Linked DNA regions of Notamacropus eugenii. The protein of the gene in region 1 purifies or fractionates together with the protein of each later gene. This does not show direct contact. Links are inferred from orthologs where the notes say so. Each region holds a gene or a part of one and is shown in the gene's direction. Other genes may lie near its edges.

Region 1 (9,900 bases):
GTGATCTATACACTTTGTCTCCAAAGCACAGACCTGTCTACAGGATACCTCCTCTAGGCACTGGAGTGCAGCAACATCCTTGTAACTGTGAACATGATCTTTCTCCCAAATACAGCTCTTCCTTCTGACTCTTCTGTTTTAGAGCAACTACCATTCTCACATGTTCAAAACTTTGGTGGTGTCTTGGAGTCTGTCTTCTTCCTCCCTCCTTTTATTCAGTCCAGCACAGTATTTTCCCCCATCCTTCTCTCAATTTTCATAATCACCCCTCTAATACAGACCCTAACTGAATATTAACTGTTCTTCTCCTTTAATCTCTCTTCCTCCAAACCTCCTTCTATATCACTGATAGGAATCTTCCTTGTGAAATAATCATTTACTCCTCTGCTTAATTCCCATGATGGTTCCCATGATGTCTGTCCATTGGATAAATTTCAAACTAATGACACAATTTTACATTTTTAATAGTACTCTTCTCCATGTAGTCTGTGTTCCAATCAAACTGAACTGTTTACCCTGGCCTCCTACATATGCCTAACTTTTCCGTCCTCCATGCCTTTGTCCATGCTGTTTCCTATGCCTAGGCTGCCTTTCTCCCTTCACTTACTGAATTCTTAGCCATCCTTTAAATCCAACTCAAATGTCTCTTCCTTCAGGAAACTGTCCCCATCCCCTTAGTCAGGAATGGTTTCCTCTCACATTCCACATACAGCTTTGCAGTTCTTTGGGCACATATATTATTCAGTGTGAATTATGGTTATCCATACCAGAAAACAATGATGAAAACCAGAACCGTGTCTTACCTACCTATCATATTGTCCTGAACTTAGTAGATGCTGTGGAGCAAACGTTGAATTGAATTGAAAATCTTTGGACAAATCCCTTCTCTCCCCTGTACCTCTGTTTTTCTTTCTGAAACATAAAACTAATTGGTAGTGGGAAGGGAAGAGGTTAAGCAAGTTAACTTTTGTTTGAAGAAGACTTTAAAAATACAAAGTGACTTTTTTTAGAGGTTCCATTGACTGACATAGAGCCTTTCTTCAGGGCTCTGGAAGCGAGGAACACCCCATGTAAAGCTCTCCATATAAATCTGTGAGTGGGATTATTCATTGATGACAAGAGACTCATCATTGTTTTCCTCTCTAGAGCTTCTCTTTGGTTGCAGAGAGCTTTGTGAAGTTCTCATGTCTTTGTTCTCCTGAGTATGTGTATGTGTCTGTGTCTGTGTCTGAAAGACTGCTTTACATGTGTGTGATTAAAAAGAATTTCTTTTCAAAAAGCATCTAGGAATTGTGCAAAGTTGTTGGGGTGGACAGGGCAGGCAGGAGCAGAAAGAAAGATGAGAGTTGGGGAGGCCAAATAACTACCATCAGCTGTTTGGTAATGAGCATGGTTGAAGTTAGAGATGAGAAAACAATTCCTAGGATGATGGAAGGCTACACTGTCTCTGGAATGTACAGCCCCAGCTCAATGCGTTCTGGTTGTTTCAGAGCAGTGGTACACCTTGGGGATGTGGAAGATCCCCAAGAATGTCAACTAAGTCTTTCAGAGGCAAAAAAAGGTCATCATCTAGAGGACAGCAGAATGCCAGGAGACAGATACAGACTTGTCTTAGGAATGCTAATAGATACTCTGTTATAATATGAAAGGCTAGGGCATGTCCTTAGCTTTATCCTGTTACTGACATAATCATGCTGTGTGACCCTGGGGAGGTCCCTTGGCTATTCTGTGCACATGCTTTCCCTACTGTCACATGGGAATAATATTAATTTTAAAAACAGTGAAGGTTTGTGAATTCTTTGTAGAAAGCTCTCATTTTACTATATGATCTCACTAATGGGGACACTTTCCATAGAAGTCCATATAAGCCATCGAATCATGTTCTGCTCTTGTCTCCATAAAGCCTTTATAAAGATTTCACTCAGTTTACTAGAGATCTCCCCTAGGTCTTTTCACATTAAAGGTACTGGTGTGGCATTCAATCTGTCCATCTGTTATCTTTGGCTTTCACTACATGACTAATAACATCACCTGGGGACCAGTGTAGCCCTCAGTCTGTCCATCTGTTATCTTTTGCTTTCGCTACATGACTGATAATATTACATGGGTACCAATGGGACTCTGTCCATCTCTTCTCTGCTTTTACTACATGACCAATCTACGTCCTTTTTTGGGCACAATGTTTTTTTGGTTGGTGTCTTCCATGCTACTTATCACACAAAAGTCATCTTTGGTAATAAACTGGAGTCAGCTTCCATCCTCTATCTCCCCATTGCCCTTTGTGCCATGCACAACTGTGACTCTCCTGAGACTGTAGAGTATATGATTCACAATCATATAGCACCCCAACTCCATCTCAGCATGGTTGACCTTTAAGCCCTTTGTGGAAGAAAGAGAGTTGGAAGGATAGTAATGTGGTTTTTTTTTTAATGAGCTTACACATAAGGATATAATTTGGGTTCATCAAAACTGATTTCCCCAATGCTGTTGGCCATTTCCCTCCCACATGTTCGATTTGGACCCTGGCTCATTGTCCACTTGCAGAACCTGTCCAGAATATGTGTAGTGATAGTTTAAATCAGTGAACTTCCCAGCAGTGTGTCATAATCAGGACAATTTCCTTACTGTTCCTCTCACAAGACACTCCATCTCTCAAGTCTGGGCATTTTCATGGACTGTGTCCCATACACATGATGCTCTCCCTTCTCACCTCTGCCTTCTGGCTTCCCTGGTTTCCTTCAAGTCTCAGCAAAAAATCCCACCATCTACAGGAAGATTTTCCTGATCTATCTTAATGTTAAGGCTTTCCTTCTGAGAGTATCTCTAATTTATCCTATAGATGGATAGATGGATGGATGGATGGATGGATGGATGGATGGATGGATGGATGGATGGATAGATAAATAGACAGATAGATAGATAGGTAGATAGATAGATAGATAGATAGATAGATAGATAGATAGATAGATAGATAGATAGATAGGTAGGTAGATAGGTAGGTAGGTAGGCAGATAAATAGATATGGATAGCTATATATTTATATCTATACAGAAGAAATTGGAAATAATCTCAGAGGGAAGGCATATATATGTATCTATCAAGATATAGGTATGTGGATATCTAAATCTATCTATACATACATATCTGTATATCTTACTTGAATGTAGCTGTTTGAATGTTGTCTCTTCTATTAAGACTGTGAGCTCCTTGAGGCCAGCGATCATTTTTTTGGTCTTTCTTTATATCTCCAGTGCTTAACATAGTGCCTGGCATACTGTAGGTGCTCAATAAATACTTGCTGACTTGACAATAGACACTCTTCATCTAAATGTTTTTTTCCTTATAGATTGTTAGACTTTAGTGGTTATGGATCTCATGGAAGAAGCCTTGCCCTATTCTGGAACTTGAGGTTCTCAGTACATTGTCTTCCAATAATGCCAGGAAGAACTCACCATCTTTTTTGTTGTTCAGTCATGCAGTTGTGTCTTACTCCTCAGTCACCCCATGGACCATAGCATACCAAGTTGTTCTCTCCTCTGCTATCTCTTGAAGTCTGTCCAAGTTCACGTTTGTTGTTTCCGTGACACTATCCATCCATCTTATCTTCTGCCATCCCCTTTTCCTTTTGCTTTCATTCTTTCCCAACACCAGGGTGTTTTCCAATGGGTTCCATCTTCTCATTATATGGCCAAATTTACCATCTTTAGAGAATTATTTTTTCATTTGGATTCTACCCAGGACCTCCTATCCTTGTCTTCCATGAAAGTGACAAATACCTCAGTGAGCAATCACCTCCCTGTTGTGTCCCTGGCTCCCTATGGATACTCAGATGACTGTTGAATAAAACTATCTCTGTGGTTACATCTACTAAGGAGTCTTACGTGAGCTTAACATAAAGATGGGAGACCCTTTTAGTAGTCAGCCTTTTTAAGGGGACATTTTGTTCTACCAATCAAATTTTTTAAAAAATAACGAATGTTTTTAAAAACCATTGGGAGCTTATATTCTTTATGTTTGTCAGTAATTGTGTTTATGATCTCATTTTACAGATTATAATTCATAGCTTGTGTTATGTTTTTTTACAAAATGATTTCCTGTCAACAACTTTGTAAGGAGATTACAGAGTAAGAAGTATAATTCCCATTCTCCAGTTAGGAAAGGTAGTGAGATTTGAAATTTACTTTCCCAAGATCACACTTGAAAAGTGACAGTGGTAGTATTAGAATAAAGACCTTCTGCCTTCAATCTCAATATTCTTTCTACATCCTCTACCTCCATTTTCCTTGAGAATCTCGAGAGGACAAATGTGATTGAGGCAAATACTTTAAAAGTTTCCTTTTTAGAGTAAAATGTTCATTATTCATATATGAACCCAAACATTTCCAACTATGGCATCCCTTCCTGAAATACTCATCCTCACTTCTACCTCTTAGAATCTCTTGTATCTTTCAAGACTTAGCTCCAAGACAGTCTTCTGCAGGAGGTCTTATTCATTCTACCAGCTTCCAGAACCTTCCTCTTTGAGATGAACTTCCACCAGCTCTGTTATATATCTTGTATGTTCTGGATTATTTACATATCCTCTCTCCCATTAGAAGGTCAGCTTCTTCTAAGCAGGGCTTGTTTTTTCCTCTCTTTGGGTCCCGCAGTGATTGAAATTACCTGGCACATAGTAAGCACTTAATAAATGCTTGTTGATTGGTTGATTCACTGATTAAGAGAGAAGAAGCACTAGACTAAGGGTCAAAAAACCTGGGTTCTAGTTCATGTTTAATCCTTACCATATATCAGACCTTGAGTGAAACATTTCAACTCTCTGGGCCTCATCTGTAAAATGAGGATAATAATACCTGTGACCACCTCCTTCCAAAGGTTGTGGTGAGGATCACATGAGATAAAGGTTGTGAAAAGGCTTTGTAGATTGTAATGAGCTCAATGGAGGTTTTAAAAAGTGCTGGTTAAATGGAATCTTTACCCCTGCAAACCTTGACTCATTCTCTAGAGTGTTAGTGTCCATCAGCTCAGCTGGAGTTTACATGACATTTTCCCATCTCCATTTTATTATCTTCAAGAAAGACCTGAGTTCAAACCTGCCTCTTATACTTCCTAGTTGGGTGAACTTGGCTAAGTCTTTTAACCAGCCTCAGGTTATGTGCCTCAGTTTCCTTATCTATAAAGCCAAGATAATACTACTACCTCCCTCCCAGCATAAAATGAGTTAGTATATGCAAAGTGCTTTGTGTTCCTTAAAAGCACTAAATAGTTTGTACTATTAGTGGCAGCACTGGGCATAGAGCGCCAGACCTGGAGTCAGGAAGACCCATCTTTCTGAGTTCAAATCTGGTCTCAGACACTTACTAGCTGTGTCACCCTGGGTAAGTCACTTAACTCTATTTGTCTCAGTTTTCTCTTCTATCAATTGAACTGGAGAAGGAAATGCAAACCACTCCAGTATCTCTGCCACAAAAACCACAAAATGGTGTCATGAAGAGTCGGACACAACTGAAAACAACTGGACAACAACAGAAAAACAAAAAAAAAATTGTTATTAATACATCCTTGTGGAGGAAAGAAGAATGCTTATGATAAAAAAAAAGTTAGAGCTGGAAGTAACTTTAGAGATCACCTAGTGTTCTTTAACCCCCTGGTTTTTCCAGAGGAAAAAATTGAAGCCCAGAGAAATGAAATGACTAACCTAGGGATCACACTGGTAGGTAGTAAGTAATAGAAGGTCTGAGTTCAAATTCTACCTCATAGTTGCTGAACCAGAGGTTCCAACCCAGGTCCTTCACTCTGAATTCAGCATGCTAAGCTGGGCCATCTCAGGTCATCCTGATTGGATATCTGGCCACTGGACCCAGATGGCTCTGGAGAAGAAAGTAAGGCTGGTGACTTTGCCCAGCCTGCCCTCCCTCAAATCCAATTCAATGCAAGTCATGTTATCATCTCCCTGATGTCATGGTCCTCTTTGAGAATGAAGGACAAACCACAACAGTATGCTATGAAGGTTTCTCCCCCATATCGTAACTGAGAAAACTGATGCCCACAAATATAAGACAATTTTCCCATGACTAATGAAAGATCTTAGATAAAAGGACTAGAGCAGGCCAATGGCTAGTCACTCAGTCCAGCTCCCTCATTTTACAGGTGAAGAATCTGAGACCCACAGAGTTGTCACAAAGGAAGAATTCTCATTCAGTTCCAAACCCAGTGTTTTTTCCCATTCTACCCTTTCTGGAAGTCAGAATGCCCTGGAAAAAAAAGCCAAAGGACTTCAGCTGTATTGCTCATTCTGCTTTGTGACCTTGGGCAATTTACTTCATTTCTGAATCTCAGTTTCTTAATTTGTCAAATAAGGATACTATCTGCCCAGCCTACCTCACAAATTCATTGTGAGGCTCAAATCAGATCATCTGTAAGAAAGTGCTTTGAAAATGATAAATCCACTGTAAGTATGTAAGGTATTCTTATTCATTATTATACCTTCAATTCAAAGCTGTTGAAATGTCTTAAGCAGGAGAGGATGCAGTTGAAGAATTGGGGCAGGGTGGGGAGGAGTCGGATTGAGACTGGGCATCTCAGAACCTCAACCATCATCCCCACCTGTGAACTGTAGTTCTCAGCTTCAGTGTCCCCATCGGTTTAACTCTTGATAATCAGAGATAGAACTGGAAGAGACCTTCAGAGTCATTTATTCCAAACCCTTCCTTTCCCAAATGAGGAAACTGAGACCTTGAGAGGGGAAGGGGCAGCATTATGTTATTAAACACTTTTCATCATATTTTAGATAAGACTCTCTCCCCAACCCATAGTGATATATGTTGTTTTTCTTTGTTGGTTAGTTGTTTTCAGTCATTTCTGACTCTTTGTGACCCTATTTGGGTGTGTGTGTGTGTGTGTGTGTGTGTGTGTGTGTGTGTGTGTGTGTGTGTGTGTGTGTGTGTGTAACAGAGCAGAATGTCCATTACCACAATGCCTTGAAATACCCAGACTGCCCTGCCTTCTCACATCAGCACTGGATCTAATAAGTGACTAAGGCTGGATGTAAGTGTTAGAGAAGGGGCAGCTACATGGTGCAGTGGATAGAGCAGTGCAGGAGTCAGGAGGACCTGAGTTCATATCTCACCTCAGACACTTCACACTCACTAGCTGTGTGACCTTGGGCAAGTCACTTAACCCCAATTGCCTCATCCTAGGTCATCTCCAGTCATCTGGTCGCTGGATTCAGATGGCTCTGGAGGAGAAGTGAGGCAGGTGACCTGCACAGCCCTCTCTCACTCAAAACAAAGTCAAGTGCACGTCATGTCATCATTTCTCTGATGATATGATCTTCTTCAGCAAAGAATGACAAACACACACACAAGTGTTAGAGATGGAATCTGAATCCACACATGGCTCCCAAGCCAGAGAGGAAGGGGCGAAAGCACTAGGTTTGGGGAATCTTGCCTCTGGTGATGACAGGCTTAGAGAGGATTAAATAGGGGCCCTCCTGGGGCAGAGGTCAGGAGTTCTCCAGGTGTGATTCTGTGAGGCACAGGGGAAGGAGAAAAATGACTTGGTTGGGTGTCAGTGTCGCTAGCCTCAGCTGAGCCCGGGGCAGTGGTTATCTCCTATTCCTATGGGACAGCCAGGCCAGATCTAGCTGATTTGGGTCTACTGTACAGCTGTGGCAGGCCTCCGTGGGATGAAGTCTCTTCCCTCCCTCTGGCTCCTCCTTGGGCTGGAGGCTGTGGGTGGGGATTTGCAGGTCAGAACTCAGCTCTTTCTCCACTCCCACCACCCCCACCCCCACCCTGGGGCTTAGGGTGTGGTTAGAGGAGTGGAGAAGGGGATTGAGCTGGTGGAGGGACTAGATAGTAGAGGAGGGGCCTGGCCTGGGCTTGCTACCAGCTGAGTCCCTCCTGGAGTGGCCAGGAGCCCTGCTTATGCAAGGGCTGACCTATCTGGCCCACTGAGGCAAAGGCACTGGGTGTGGCTGGGGTGACTGGAGAGACAAGCCAAGTTAAGTGATAGCATGTGGAACACAGTTGCAAGAACAGGCTGTAGGCCAGCCGCATGGCGCGGATCTCCCTAGGGGCAGCCAAGTTTTCTGTTTGCACAACAGTGATGGAGGCAATGTGGCACTGCGTTTGGGGACTAAAGGCTGTGGAGCACAAGAGGGGTTTTCCTAGGGCATTTCTCTAGGCCAGAACATTATACATAGTCCGGAGCTTCTTAAACTTTTTTCACTCATGACCCCTTCAGTGCTTCTTAAACTGTGGGTTATGTCTGCCACAGAGCTCTGTAACCCAGGTCTGAAACCTGGATCCACCATCTCCTTGGGCCCTAAACTCCTCGGGCTCACTGTCCTCATCCCTACAAAGTGAGGTGGTAGCCTGGCTAATCCCTAAGGTTCCAACCTTTTACAGATGAGGGAACTGAGGGGAAGGAAATGAAGTGGTTTGACTACCCTCTCCTGCAGCCCTTGCTGGTTCCTTCCCAATAGAATTCTCCCTCCACTCTAGACTGTGCTAATAGGGCTTTGAGCATCTCTTTATGTCCTCAGCACACATCACATTCTGTAATGATATATCCATCTATGTTGTTTGCTCATTTTTGTGGACTCATTACTCCATCTTAAATTATACCAGTTAGATGCCAGAGAAAACAATAATGGAGATCTGGGTTTTTTCATTGAAAATACATTCATTTAGGGCCTCCTGTGTATAGGTTCTGTATTCTGTTTCCCTCTCTTGAACTTATGCCCCAAACCATTTTCCTTCCTGCCCTTCATTCTAAGATTCTAAGGAAGGGAAAGATGATGTCTGATTAGAGTCTTCCTTTATTTGAGAAATACTCACCGGGCAACTTATTTGCCCAAGTTGTGCCAGTGCCCTTTTATTCATTTTCAAGACAAAAAGAAAGGACTTCCCCAGGATCCTCTGTCACACCTGGAGGAGGCTCTCAGACCTCTGCCTTATCACTCCTGCCCCACTCTGTGTGTGTGTGTGTGTGTATGTATGTATGTATTTATATATGTGTGCATATATACACATAGAACTATGATGCTGCAGAGAACAATATGAAAGGTGTCTGTAAGATGCACCCTTCAAATGCTTTGGGTGCTCTGAGGAGAGAGGGATACTTTAGGGGGAGAGGGGCAGGAAATGCTTCATATGCTGAACCCTGAAAGATTTCTGAGATAGGGGATGAGGGAAAAGTCAAGCCGGCCACTTGAAGATCAATGTTGTTTGAGACAATAAACATTGGAGAATGCATTTCTTAAAGAGATGTAAAAACATTAAGATAAAATGTGATAAACATTTTTTTAAAAAATGAGTAATCACTTATTGCCTATGAAGATTTACCTCCCCAAAGGAGGCTAACCCAACTAACCTCTGTTTGTTTTTGGAATAAAGTTACTAATATGGCTGAGACAAGTGTACTTTGATTTTAAGCAAACAGACTCTTAGAATTTTGTGGATTAGGTGGTGAGAAGGGACTTGAATAATAATGGGGTCAGTAAAACTGGTACAAAATGATGAGCAAGGATCTATTTAGTCACTTGACCACTGCCTGCCTCAGTTTCCCCATCTGCAAAATGGGATAATAGCAGCTACCTTCCAGGGATGTTGTAGGGATCAAGTGGATTAATATTTGTTGAGTGCTTTTGAAACCATAAAACACCAAGGATGGGGATGCAATGAGAAAACTGCATAGGCTGCTAGAATTCTAATGCTTAACAAATGATTCAGCCTAGAGAGAAATATTCCTGTTTTATATTATTTCATTTCCCCTACCTACTATTCTATTCAAATGTACCCCTTCTTTGAGTCCTGGACTTTTACTTAGTTCCCAGCTCCAGCAGCCATCCCCTTTCTCTGAAGTATTATTTCATTCCATTTTTTTTTTTTTTTGTTC
Region 2 (9,857 bases), on another chromosome or scaffold:
AGAGTGTGGATATTCTTTTTAAGATTTTTGAATGCACTATACTTTTGATGTGTTGCTGTGTCTAAAAAAAAAGAGACTTCATCATCTGTTGGCCAGACCTGATGAAAAGCTGTCCTGGAAACTAAAGATTTGCCGGGGTCTTTATTGTTCTCCAGTTTTGAAATGACCTTTTTGGGTGAAAGCCCTGTAATTGGTCAGCATCTGTTTTTAACTGAGCCTCTGGGATCAGGATGCTAATTAATGTATGGAAAATGTAGGGCTTGTAGTGATTGAAGAAAACCTTTCCGAGTAGACTTTACTTAAACAGTTCAAAACTAACCAACATATAAAAAAAGTCCGACATGTTTGCAAAGAAGAAAGGAGCACATTTTTGATGCTTTCATTTGACTCAGTCACAGAAATGTCAATTAGAACAGGGCCCATTTCTATGGAACAAAGGGATGTTTTTGTTTCTGCCTTCCAGACAACAGTACAGTCAGTCTACATCAGTATTTCCCAGTTAGTCATACTGTAGAACTCTAAAATTATAAAGATTTACAGTTCCCCAAAACAAAGACCCAACTTTTTAATACCAGTGCCCTACTGATGCACTTACATGAGTCATAATACGTATACACACTAAATTCTTCAAAATAAGGAGATTTATTTTGTCACTAAGATAGAGTAGGATCTTATGGTAGAGAATTTGATGCCTGATTGATTTGATATGGGGGGATTATGTCCAAGACAAGTGAGGTTCTGAGCCTCAGTGCTCTTCTTGACCAAGACATGGCAGTTAGGAGAAACAGGTAAGTTCAGTTTCTGCCGAAGGAGGTGCCTGATGAGGAGGCATAAAAAAAAAAAAACCAGAGAGAAAGGCATGAAAAAATACTGGATTTAAAATTTGAGAAATAAATCCTAACTGCTACACATCATGCCAAGGGTTCTATCCCCCTTCAGCTACTCTGTGGTTAAACTTCATTTTCCATCCTTTGGGCTCTGCCTCCACATCAACAAATGGAGCATTTCAGCATAGAGCTACAACTTGCCTCTGTGGAATTGTTCACTGACCGACCAACAGTTAATGTGGTTAGACTATATAGGAAGTGTTTGTGGGTGTGGGTGTATGTGTACACATGTGTGCTAGATGGCACAGTGGCCTTTGAGCCAGACAGACCTGAGTTCAAATCCTGCCTTAGACATTTAGCTTAGCTGTCTCATCCTGGATAAGTCACTTAATGTTTTTTCAACCTCAGTTTCCTCTTCTGCAAAATGAGAATAACAATAACAGGATTGTTGTAAGGATCAAATAATGCCTACAAAGCAGTTTGAAAAACTTAAAGGGCTATATAAATGTGATGATGGTGATGGTGATACAGTATGTATCTGCCCAGGGTGGTTGGGGCTAATTGAAAGATGTGAAATATTGAGACTAGAACCTCACGTTAGATGTCAGCAGGTTGTCTTGTTCGACCTTGGACTCAGAGATTTGAGCCTGTGCCCTTTAGTCAATTGTAATCTAATTTTCTTTCTTAGAATAGAGAGGCAGGAAAGCACAGACTGAAAGAATCAGATCTGCCAGCAGCATTATAAATTGACTGGGGCTTCAAGAGGGCTGCTGTGTAAGACAAGAGTGGGGCTTATTTTAAAGGCCTTGCTGGCCTTGGTTAACAGTCATGGGGAGGAAGTCTACCTTTGCAAATCTAGCTGGGCCTGCCCTGGAGTTAAACAGGAAATTTGAGGTGCTAGTATTCCTGTTTCAAAAGTCAGCTATGTATGTATGTGAAAGCTGTCTTCTTTTGGAATGGCATTCACCTTGCTCTGTGTGCCCCTCTTGACTCGAATACTTTCACAATCCAGACTCCTAGCTTTTTCTGTCCAGAGAGCTTGTCCTTTCTCCAGGTACTATTCTGAGCTGTCTTCTTTTTCCCACTCCCAGTCACACAATTGAATATTCTTACTTTCCCAACTTTGTCACATCCTTTTATCATATTTTTTCTTTTTCCTTCCTCTCTGAACAACCAATTGGGATTCTGCAGTTTCCTGGTTATTAAATGCAGGAATGATAGAGCCAATTTGTAGGACTCACACTTACTCAACATCTTGTTGTAGCCATTTATGTCAGGAGTGGTGGCATGGGATTGAAAGGGGGGGGTGGAGATTATTTTGCAAAACAAAACCAACTTTTCTGAATTTGGGGGAACTTTTATAAACCATGACTGGGGTTCCTTGCCTCCCCAAACTTCAGCTTTTATGGAAGCACATGCCTTTATAAGGCACCTGACCTTCAGCTGTAACTTTTCATTCTGAAGGTGCTGGTGTGTCTGGAAGCAAAAGGGATGATTTAGACCCTAGGCTGTTTACCTCCTGCTTCTGAGAGCTGATTCTTCTCGTCTGCTGAATTGAAGCTAATTTTGGATAGGTAATGAGGTGTAGTTTATTGCTAATCTTGATTTTCTATGCTAATTGTATGAATACTTTATAGAAAAGTTCATTTTACTAACTCCCTGCTGCTAGGAGGAGAAAAAGGTTAGGTTGTACAATTTTTTATGAGTTTTCTAGTATCAAGGAATCTCCTGATTGATGGAGAGGTTTTGTGGTATTGTGGAAAGTATCTGGCCTTGAGAGTGGGAAGACTTAGATCCTCACTATTTCTGCCACCACTCTTTGTGATACAAGTGGTGAGCTTGGGTCAGTTATTGCTTCTCTAGGATGTTATAGAGAGAGTGTGCCTTTACAATGCTTGTACTGTGTGGTGGATCCTTAACTTCCAGTTCTTAGTTTTGTTATTTGTAAAATGGGCATACTACTTGCCTACCTATCTAATAGGGCAGTTGTAGGATCAGTGAAAATGTATGCAAAAGCATTTATTAAAAAGCATATCTTTAGTATAGGTGACAGAGATTTATTTTACCATGGTCCCTGACAAGAATATCAGAATGAAAAATTAGCTCCCCTTCTGTTATGTACAATTCGTCTAGGCAAAGGGGTAAAGTGAAAAAGCCCCATTCAGTTTGGAGTCAGATGACCTGGCTTCAAATCCTAGCTCTGCTGTTTACTGTTTATATAATCATGGTCAAATGATAATTGCTGTCTATTTCTTAATCTGCAAAACTGAGAAGGTTGATTAGATGACCTAAGGTCCTTTCCTGCTCTAAATCTATAATCTAATGACCATCACAGTCTCCAGAGGATCAGAGGCAAGTAGAATACTTTGTATATTGAACCAGTCTGCTCAGCAAAGATATTGTAAGGTTCTTTTTATTTTTAACCAATTGTCCTTCCTACAAATTATTTTAGGACTCTCTCAAGCTTTTCTGTTTTGCATGGATTCTTTGTTCTTGCTTTGTCTAAGGCTTATCATACCATAGGTTCAAATTCTGTCCAGGCTGTCGTAGGGAACTATGGAGCTAATGACAATTCTGTTAGAGGAAAATGAGCAAGTCTCCAGTTAATCTTGCTAATAATTACTAAAATCTGGCAGCTCAAAGAACTTTCCTGACCTGTTCTCGTTTCTCTAAGAAGTAGTGATTACTTAAACCAACAAGTTAAATAATCATCCTCCATACCTTTCTTGGAAATAAGTTTTCTTTAGAGTTGTTTGTATACTTGGAAAAAACAAATTTGTTCCAGGAAAGGAATACAGTATTGGCTTACATGAGAGTCATGCTTCCTAGCTGGCGTGTGTTTTATATAGTGATGCTTAATTACCCCGGTGCCCGGATGCTATACTGTCATCCGTTGGCAAGACAGCTGAGAGAAGGTCTCAAGTTGAATGTCTTACTCTGAGCTTCTTCTGGATCTTCCAGTGATACCTGTGTGGCTCCTGAGAGTCCCTGCAGAGGGGGAGGACCCTGCTAGGGCTGACCAGTAGAGGTGATTTGGAACAATAAATGAGTTTTGTGCTCTTTGTACTTGACATTCAGTGCCTTTGCAGGTCAAGAGTCTTGAGGTCATTGTTCCCCCAGTCCCCAAAGAATATTTAAAACATTCTCCAGGTTAGAGAATGACAGAGCTGGAAGGAATTTCAGAAGTGATTCAGCCCATCACCCTCATTTCACAGAAGAAACTGAGACAGAGAGCTGAGGTACTTGTCCAAGGTCACATGGCTAATTAAGAGCAGTACTAGAAAGATGCTCAGCTCCCAGGAACAACACTCGTTTTACTCTACCAGGATACTTTGTAGCTTAGATTTGGGGTCTGAACTATTCTGTAAAAAAAAAAAAAAAAAGTACTTCGATTTCTATATGGTACATAGAGGGTTTTTCTCCCCCTTTAATGGCATGTTACACGAGGCCGTGTTTTGTTTTTTTCCCTAAAAGCAAGTAGTTACACCTGGAAGTATGAGAATTTCTTCCTGTAACCTAAATTTTCTGGTTGTTAGCCCCATTCCCTTTGCTTCTGTGGTACAGAGGGAATGTTCCATTTAATGTGTACATCTCCTCTGGAATATGCCTAGTTTGCGCATCTCTGTTCATGTGCAGAGGTGCTGCTTCAGTGTCCCTAGGGAAAATGTGCAGCCAGTCTTGAGTGGTCTCTGTGATCTTCCTGTGTGATATTTGAATCAGCAGATAAGACAGTCTGTGGGTGTAGTAAGTCAGTAAGAGAGACTGAACCAGGTCTTACCTTTCCAAGGACCTACCTCCATAAACTTTTCAAAAAGTCTTTGATTTTTCATCTATGACATTTCTACTTCCTAACCCAGTATCACTTTGATCTGAAGCCCAAAGCAAATCCCTGGTGGGAGAAAGAGAAGGACCAATATCCAGCTGCTGGGGGTGGGGGAATGAGGAAGGCCTTCATTCTTCGGTGGTGGCCAACACAGCTGAGCCCTAGCTTTCACCCACAGCTTCTAGTTTGTTTGAGGGAATTGTTCTTATTGGAGCTGCTCAAGTACTAGGGTTTGTTTCCTTGGTGTTTTTTTAAGTCAGTCAGTGAGTAAATAAACATTTATTAAGCACCTGCTATGTGCTAGGTGCTGTGCTAAAGCTCTGGAGGCACTGTGCTAAGAGAGTCCAACCTGAGTCAGGACAGACTGTCTGCTGGACATCTGACACTTGTCAATGGCTTCCTTAGATACCGTCTCTGGACTTCCATTTAACACGCACTGCTGCACTTTCATAAAGGCGCTGCAACATTCCCAGGGCAATCAGCTCTCCCAAAGAGAGATTCTGGCTTGGCATTTAGCCCTGATGCTGATTTCCAGTTGCTCTTTCATCACCTCCCCAGTTTGGGAAAGGTATGGTTTGTGCTGTGAGGATGCTTCCCAGCCTTTAGGCTCTCCCATTCCTGCCCACTGGACCCATTGCTACCGAGGCTGCTTAGTGGGCTTGCTTCTGCCTGGCGGTTGTTGTCCAGGGCTATCCCAGCTTCTAATCAGCCTGCCTTTGCTTCCTAAGTTGGCCAGGATGGTTCTTCTAAAAGCTTGTATGAATTGCTGTTACTGTCTCTATTTTTTAAATAAATCCTTTTCTGTTCTTTGCAACTCATTTGCTTTTTTTTTAATTTTCTTTTAAAAAATTACTATTAACTCCTGTTGATTTTTTTTTTCTGACTGGCCTGCCACTGCATTCCTGCTGCCCCTCCCTCTAGCTGGGTTTGTCAAGTCGCCCATGTCAGAAACTAAACTCACGGGGGACGCCTTTGAGCTGTACTGTGACGTGGTTGGGAGCCCCACTCCAGAGATCCAGTGGTGGTACGCAGAAGTCAACCAGCCAGAGTCTTTCAGACAGCTGTGGGACGGTGCTCGGAAGCGCCGTGTCACCGTAAACACCGCCTACGGGTCAAACGGCGTGAGTGTGCTGAGAATAACCGGCCTCACCTTGGAGGACTCTGGGACTTACGAGTGCAGGGCCAGCAACGACCCAAGGAGGAATGACTTGAGGCAAAATCCCTCCCTAACATGGATCCGAGCCCAGGCTACCATAAGCGTCCTTCAGAGTGAGTCCAGCACCCTACAGTAGTAGCACTGTAGTCCTTAGAGGTGGCCCAGTGACCCTTCTCCCCTTCCACCTCCTTCCTAGTATGACCACCCACCCTGTCTTTGTTCTTTCAAACCCACAACCCCTTCAGTTGTAGCATATTAAAATATTTGTGGCAATTTTTTTTTTCTTTTTGCCCTTCCTTTCCCCCCTTTTGTACTCGTCCCCCCATTTTCCTCTATTCATCCCCTCTGTGTGTCTCTTTCCTCTAGGAACAAAGGACTGGGGAAAAATCTATGGAAATGTCTAAAATCTCCTGTCATGTGGGATGGGAGGAGGGAGGAGGGACAAGGGATGAGGGACGTGGGGAGGTTTCAAAGTTAAAACTCCACAAAAGCACACTCTCAGACCAGCTTAGTGTTGAAGTTGTTTCTTCCCCTCCCTTTACGTTTATAGTAGGTTTCCTGCCATCCTTTTGCTGCCTTCTTCTCTAGTGCCTTTTTCTATTTTCATCTTTCTCCTCTAATCTAACCACTTTTGCTTTTTTTCTGATCATCTGTCTGGAGCTCTCAAAGTGGCTGCCTTCACCTGTGTGGTTTTGAGTTCCTGTGTGTCTGCCCCTCCTTTTCTGTGGTTTGCTATGATTGTATACTGTGTGACAGGGCGTTGGCAGTGGCCGCCATTGGTGTAGTGTAGTGTGGTGGTGTATTTTGGTTGTCCCTAGTCACCTGCAAGTGTGAATTCTCCCATACTTCCAGCTCCTTTTCTTTTTCAAAAACAGTGGCATGTGTGTCTCTGATAGCTTTCCACCACAGCAGCAAGCTTCTCACTTACTTTGTTCATTGGATCCTCTGTTCTTGCCAGTCAAGGAACAATCAGAGATTTGTACCATCTGTCCTGTTACCAGGAGCCTGGTGACTCCAGGTGATAAGGTAGTCCTTTGGATTTTGTCTCCCTGTGACAGCTTGGCTCTGATATCTTTCCAGGACTGTTACTGTAAGGTAGCAGCCCCAGGCTGCTCTGGAGTTCTACATGAAGGAACTTCCTAACTGCTCTCTTCTTCTCTGGCCAATAGAGCTGAGCAAGGCAGCTGGCTCAAGACTTTCCCCATTGGCCATAGGTAGAGGGAGAACATTGGACAGAAGAGTTTTTGTTTCTATTTTACTATTTGGAAAGTGACTTGCTAATTGTTGGGAGTGGGTTGGGAGGAGGGGAGGGTGAGAAACAACTGGAAGGCCAACAGGCTTTGCTAGCAATAGTCCCATTTTAGTAGTTTTGCAATTGAGACCCATGTTTTCTCTGATTGAGTGGTATTCTGGCAATTTTTCTCCTGGCTCATCTCTAGCTTTAACTGACTAATATTGATTTTGAAATGACTTGGTGTGCATCCACAATTCGCACATCGGATAGGAAAAACTAAAACACTTCCTGAGACTTTGATATTAACAAATGAGGGGCTGGAACATAGGTCTCCATCTCTGTTTCCTTATGATGCTCTTAAATCACAGTCATTCTGGAAAGTGAGGAGTGGAAGCTGTTCTATATAAAAACTTGACCAAATGTAAAAAAAACCACTTAGAAGAGGGAGATAAGGGCCACTGCAGCTGGTCCTTTTAAGTCAGAGAATTTGCCTTTGAAAATTGGAAAACCATGTAGACATATGTATGGGGAAAATTAACCAAATGACATGAATTTTTTAAAAAGCATTCTTTCCTCTTCATGTACCCCTTTTTCCCTATCCCTCTCCCCACCCCTGTTACTTTGTCTTCTCCTAAGAAGCATTTTTATAAGAATATCTAGCTGACTAATCTGTAAGGCTAATGGTGCCTCTAGGCTGGTAGTCTGTATCTGGTGTTTACCAGAACCAAAGTGCCTTGCCCTTTGCAGCTTTTTCAGTGTACCTGGACTCAAAGATTTAAAAACCAGAGCCTTGGATGCAGAATGAGGGTATAGAGAGTATGGGACTTCTTAGAAAGTATCTCAAGTCACTTAGTGAGGATTGGCTGGGGGGGCTCCCCACACACTGGTTGCAGTTGATAGGCTGGACTCCTTGGATTCCTTGGAAATCAGTTTCTTAATTCACCAGCCTCTAGAGACCAGTGACCTCAACCCTGCCCAGCTAGATCTATCTTATCTTTCCTCGCCAACCTCTCATGTTATTGACAGCTAAGCTGTGCCTGCCTTTACCCAGCATACCCTGTCCTATATTCAGTGTACTTTGGCTCCTCAAAGCTTGCTTAGCTCTGTTGAATTGCTTTACATTTCTGACTCTTCAGTGCTGTCTGGGGAGTTTTATCTGCTGGCCATGGAGAAAGGTTGAGCGTCATCTTGACCCATTAAGGGTCCACCAGGAGTACCTTCCAAAGTCCTGGAATTATGGATAACAGTAAAAAGATGTCCAATTTGGATGAGGTTAATCTTGACCCACCAAGGCCCTAAACTGACAAAGCAGATAGATATCAGCTAACAAGCCATGCTGCTCAAGGAAGGAGTTTCAGGTCAGGAATTTGCTACTTGCTACTTTAATTGGCATCAATGTCAAATAAAGGCATACAGTGGCTTCTGGCTTCTGGGATTTCTAGGTTTCCTGGATCATGGCAATGGCATGGACCAAGCTGTAGTCTGGTGTTCTGGTTCAGTCATAGCTACTGGGTCTAAGACTGTGAAACTTGAAGGAAATCCTTAACCCTCAGAAAAGAGAATAGAATGCAGATTTCAATTAGACTTGAATTGGGTCAGGTATAAGCAATAATTGGTCATAGAAATGCAATACTTATCTGTTGATAATGATACTGATAGATATACATTGCCAGTGTGGTGATCTGTCCAGGGCTGGTTTCTATATATTTTCTTGTCATAGTAGATGATGGCTGTGACCTCTGCTGAGTTTTACATGTACTGTACAGAATCACACCTCACACAAAAAATAACTCAAATTACTACTCCATTTACTTCCAACTGAGTCTGTCCTGAATCTTTAGCATTTACTCACAGGGGGAAAATTGTGTTTTTCTTTGTTGTGCCAGTATAGTACAAGAAGTATGGGCAGAAGATTATAGCTTTCACATTTCTTCCTCATAGTCCTAAAAAGCAGTAGTCAATTACATAGTCTCTAATAAAAATGGTCATCTGTCACCTGGCCTCCTTAGACTTAAAAATAAGAAAACTCTTGTTGGCCTTGTCCTTGTAGCCCCCTTCCTCATGTCATTGGGGGAAGGTTTGGAGCTGTGCAGAGCAACAAAATTGAACAATAAAATAAAGTAAAAACCTCCAAGGAGTGTTTGGATTTTGATGTTAACTTTATTTCTGCTTTTGATTTTTCTTTGTGAAGTAACAATTTAATCTTTATTTTTTTCTCTCTGTTTGGTCTTGATTTTCTCTTGGAAGTGTGATCCCTTTCTAATGCTTTCTGCTGCCAATGTGTGTGCCTTCCATTGCAGGGTTCACAACAGATTCTTCTCATCTTCCTGAGCTGCAGGGATTTGGCTTCAGTCCAGTAAACATTGAAGACCATGAGACACCACTGTACTAATGATTGTGTTAACATGCATCTGCTTCTCTGTCTTAGTGGCTGCTATGCCTCCATTATTTGTACATAAAGACCCTGCCTGTTTGATGTTAACTGGGAGAATGACCAGTACTGATCTGATGATAAAATGAAGATGACTTTTCATTTTTCTGGACTGAGAAACCCATAGGTCAATTTATTTGTGGAGTAATTTTAAGTGTTTAATGTTATCTTTCACCATTATCTTTGGACTTAAGTTGAATTGAAATTGAAAATTTTACAATAGAAAAAAAGTACTTGGACAATAGATTTTTGAAGTATTTCTCCAGGGGGGAAAATTCTGTTCTGGATAGATGAGAAGGTTTTTTGTCCCTGAAATGAGGTGTAGTAATACGTAGAAAGGTATATTGGAGTTGCAAATTATAAGTAACTAGACAGAACAAGATGAT

Evidence for each region.
Region 2: the proteins of ATP2B4 (region 1) and NPTN purify together in Homo sapiens (co-immunoprecipitation; 3 studies listed by BioGRID and IntAct, with this or other methods). This does not show direct contact. The link is inferred for Notamacropus eugenii from reciprocal best matches to the Homo sapiens genes ATP2B4 and NPTN.

Annotation. Positions count from the first base shown.
Region 1 is NC_092873.1:436,291,488-436,301,387, reverse strand, and holds the start of ATP2B4 (plasma membrane calcium-transporting ATPase 4), read left to right. Parts: upstream 1-5,783; 5' UTR 5,784-6,448; intron 6,449-9,900. UniProt on the Homo sapiens protein: Calcium/calmodulin-regulated and magnesium-dependent enzyme that catalyzes the hydrolysis of ATP coupled with the transport of calcium out of the cell. By regulating sperm cell calcium homeostasis, may play a role in sperm motility.
Region 2 is NC_092872.1:243,422,604-243,432,460, forward strand, and holds the start of NPTN (neuroplastin), read left to right. Parts: upstream 1-5,576; 5' UTR 5,577-5,591; coding exon 5,592-5,919; intron 5,920-9,857. UniProt on the Homo sapiens protein: Probable homophilic and heterophilic cell adhesion molecule involved in long term potentiation at hippocampal excitatory synapses through activation of p38MAPK. May also regulate neurite outgrowth by activating the FGFR1 signaling pathway.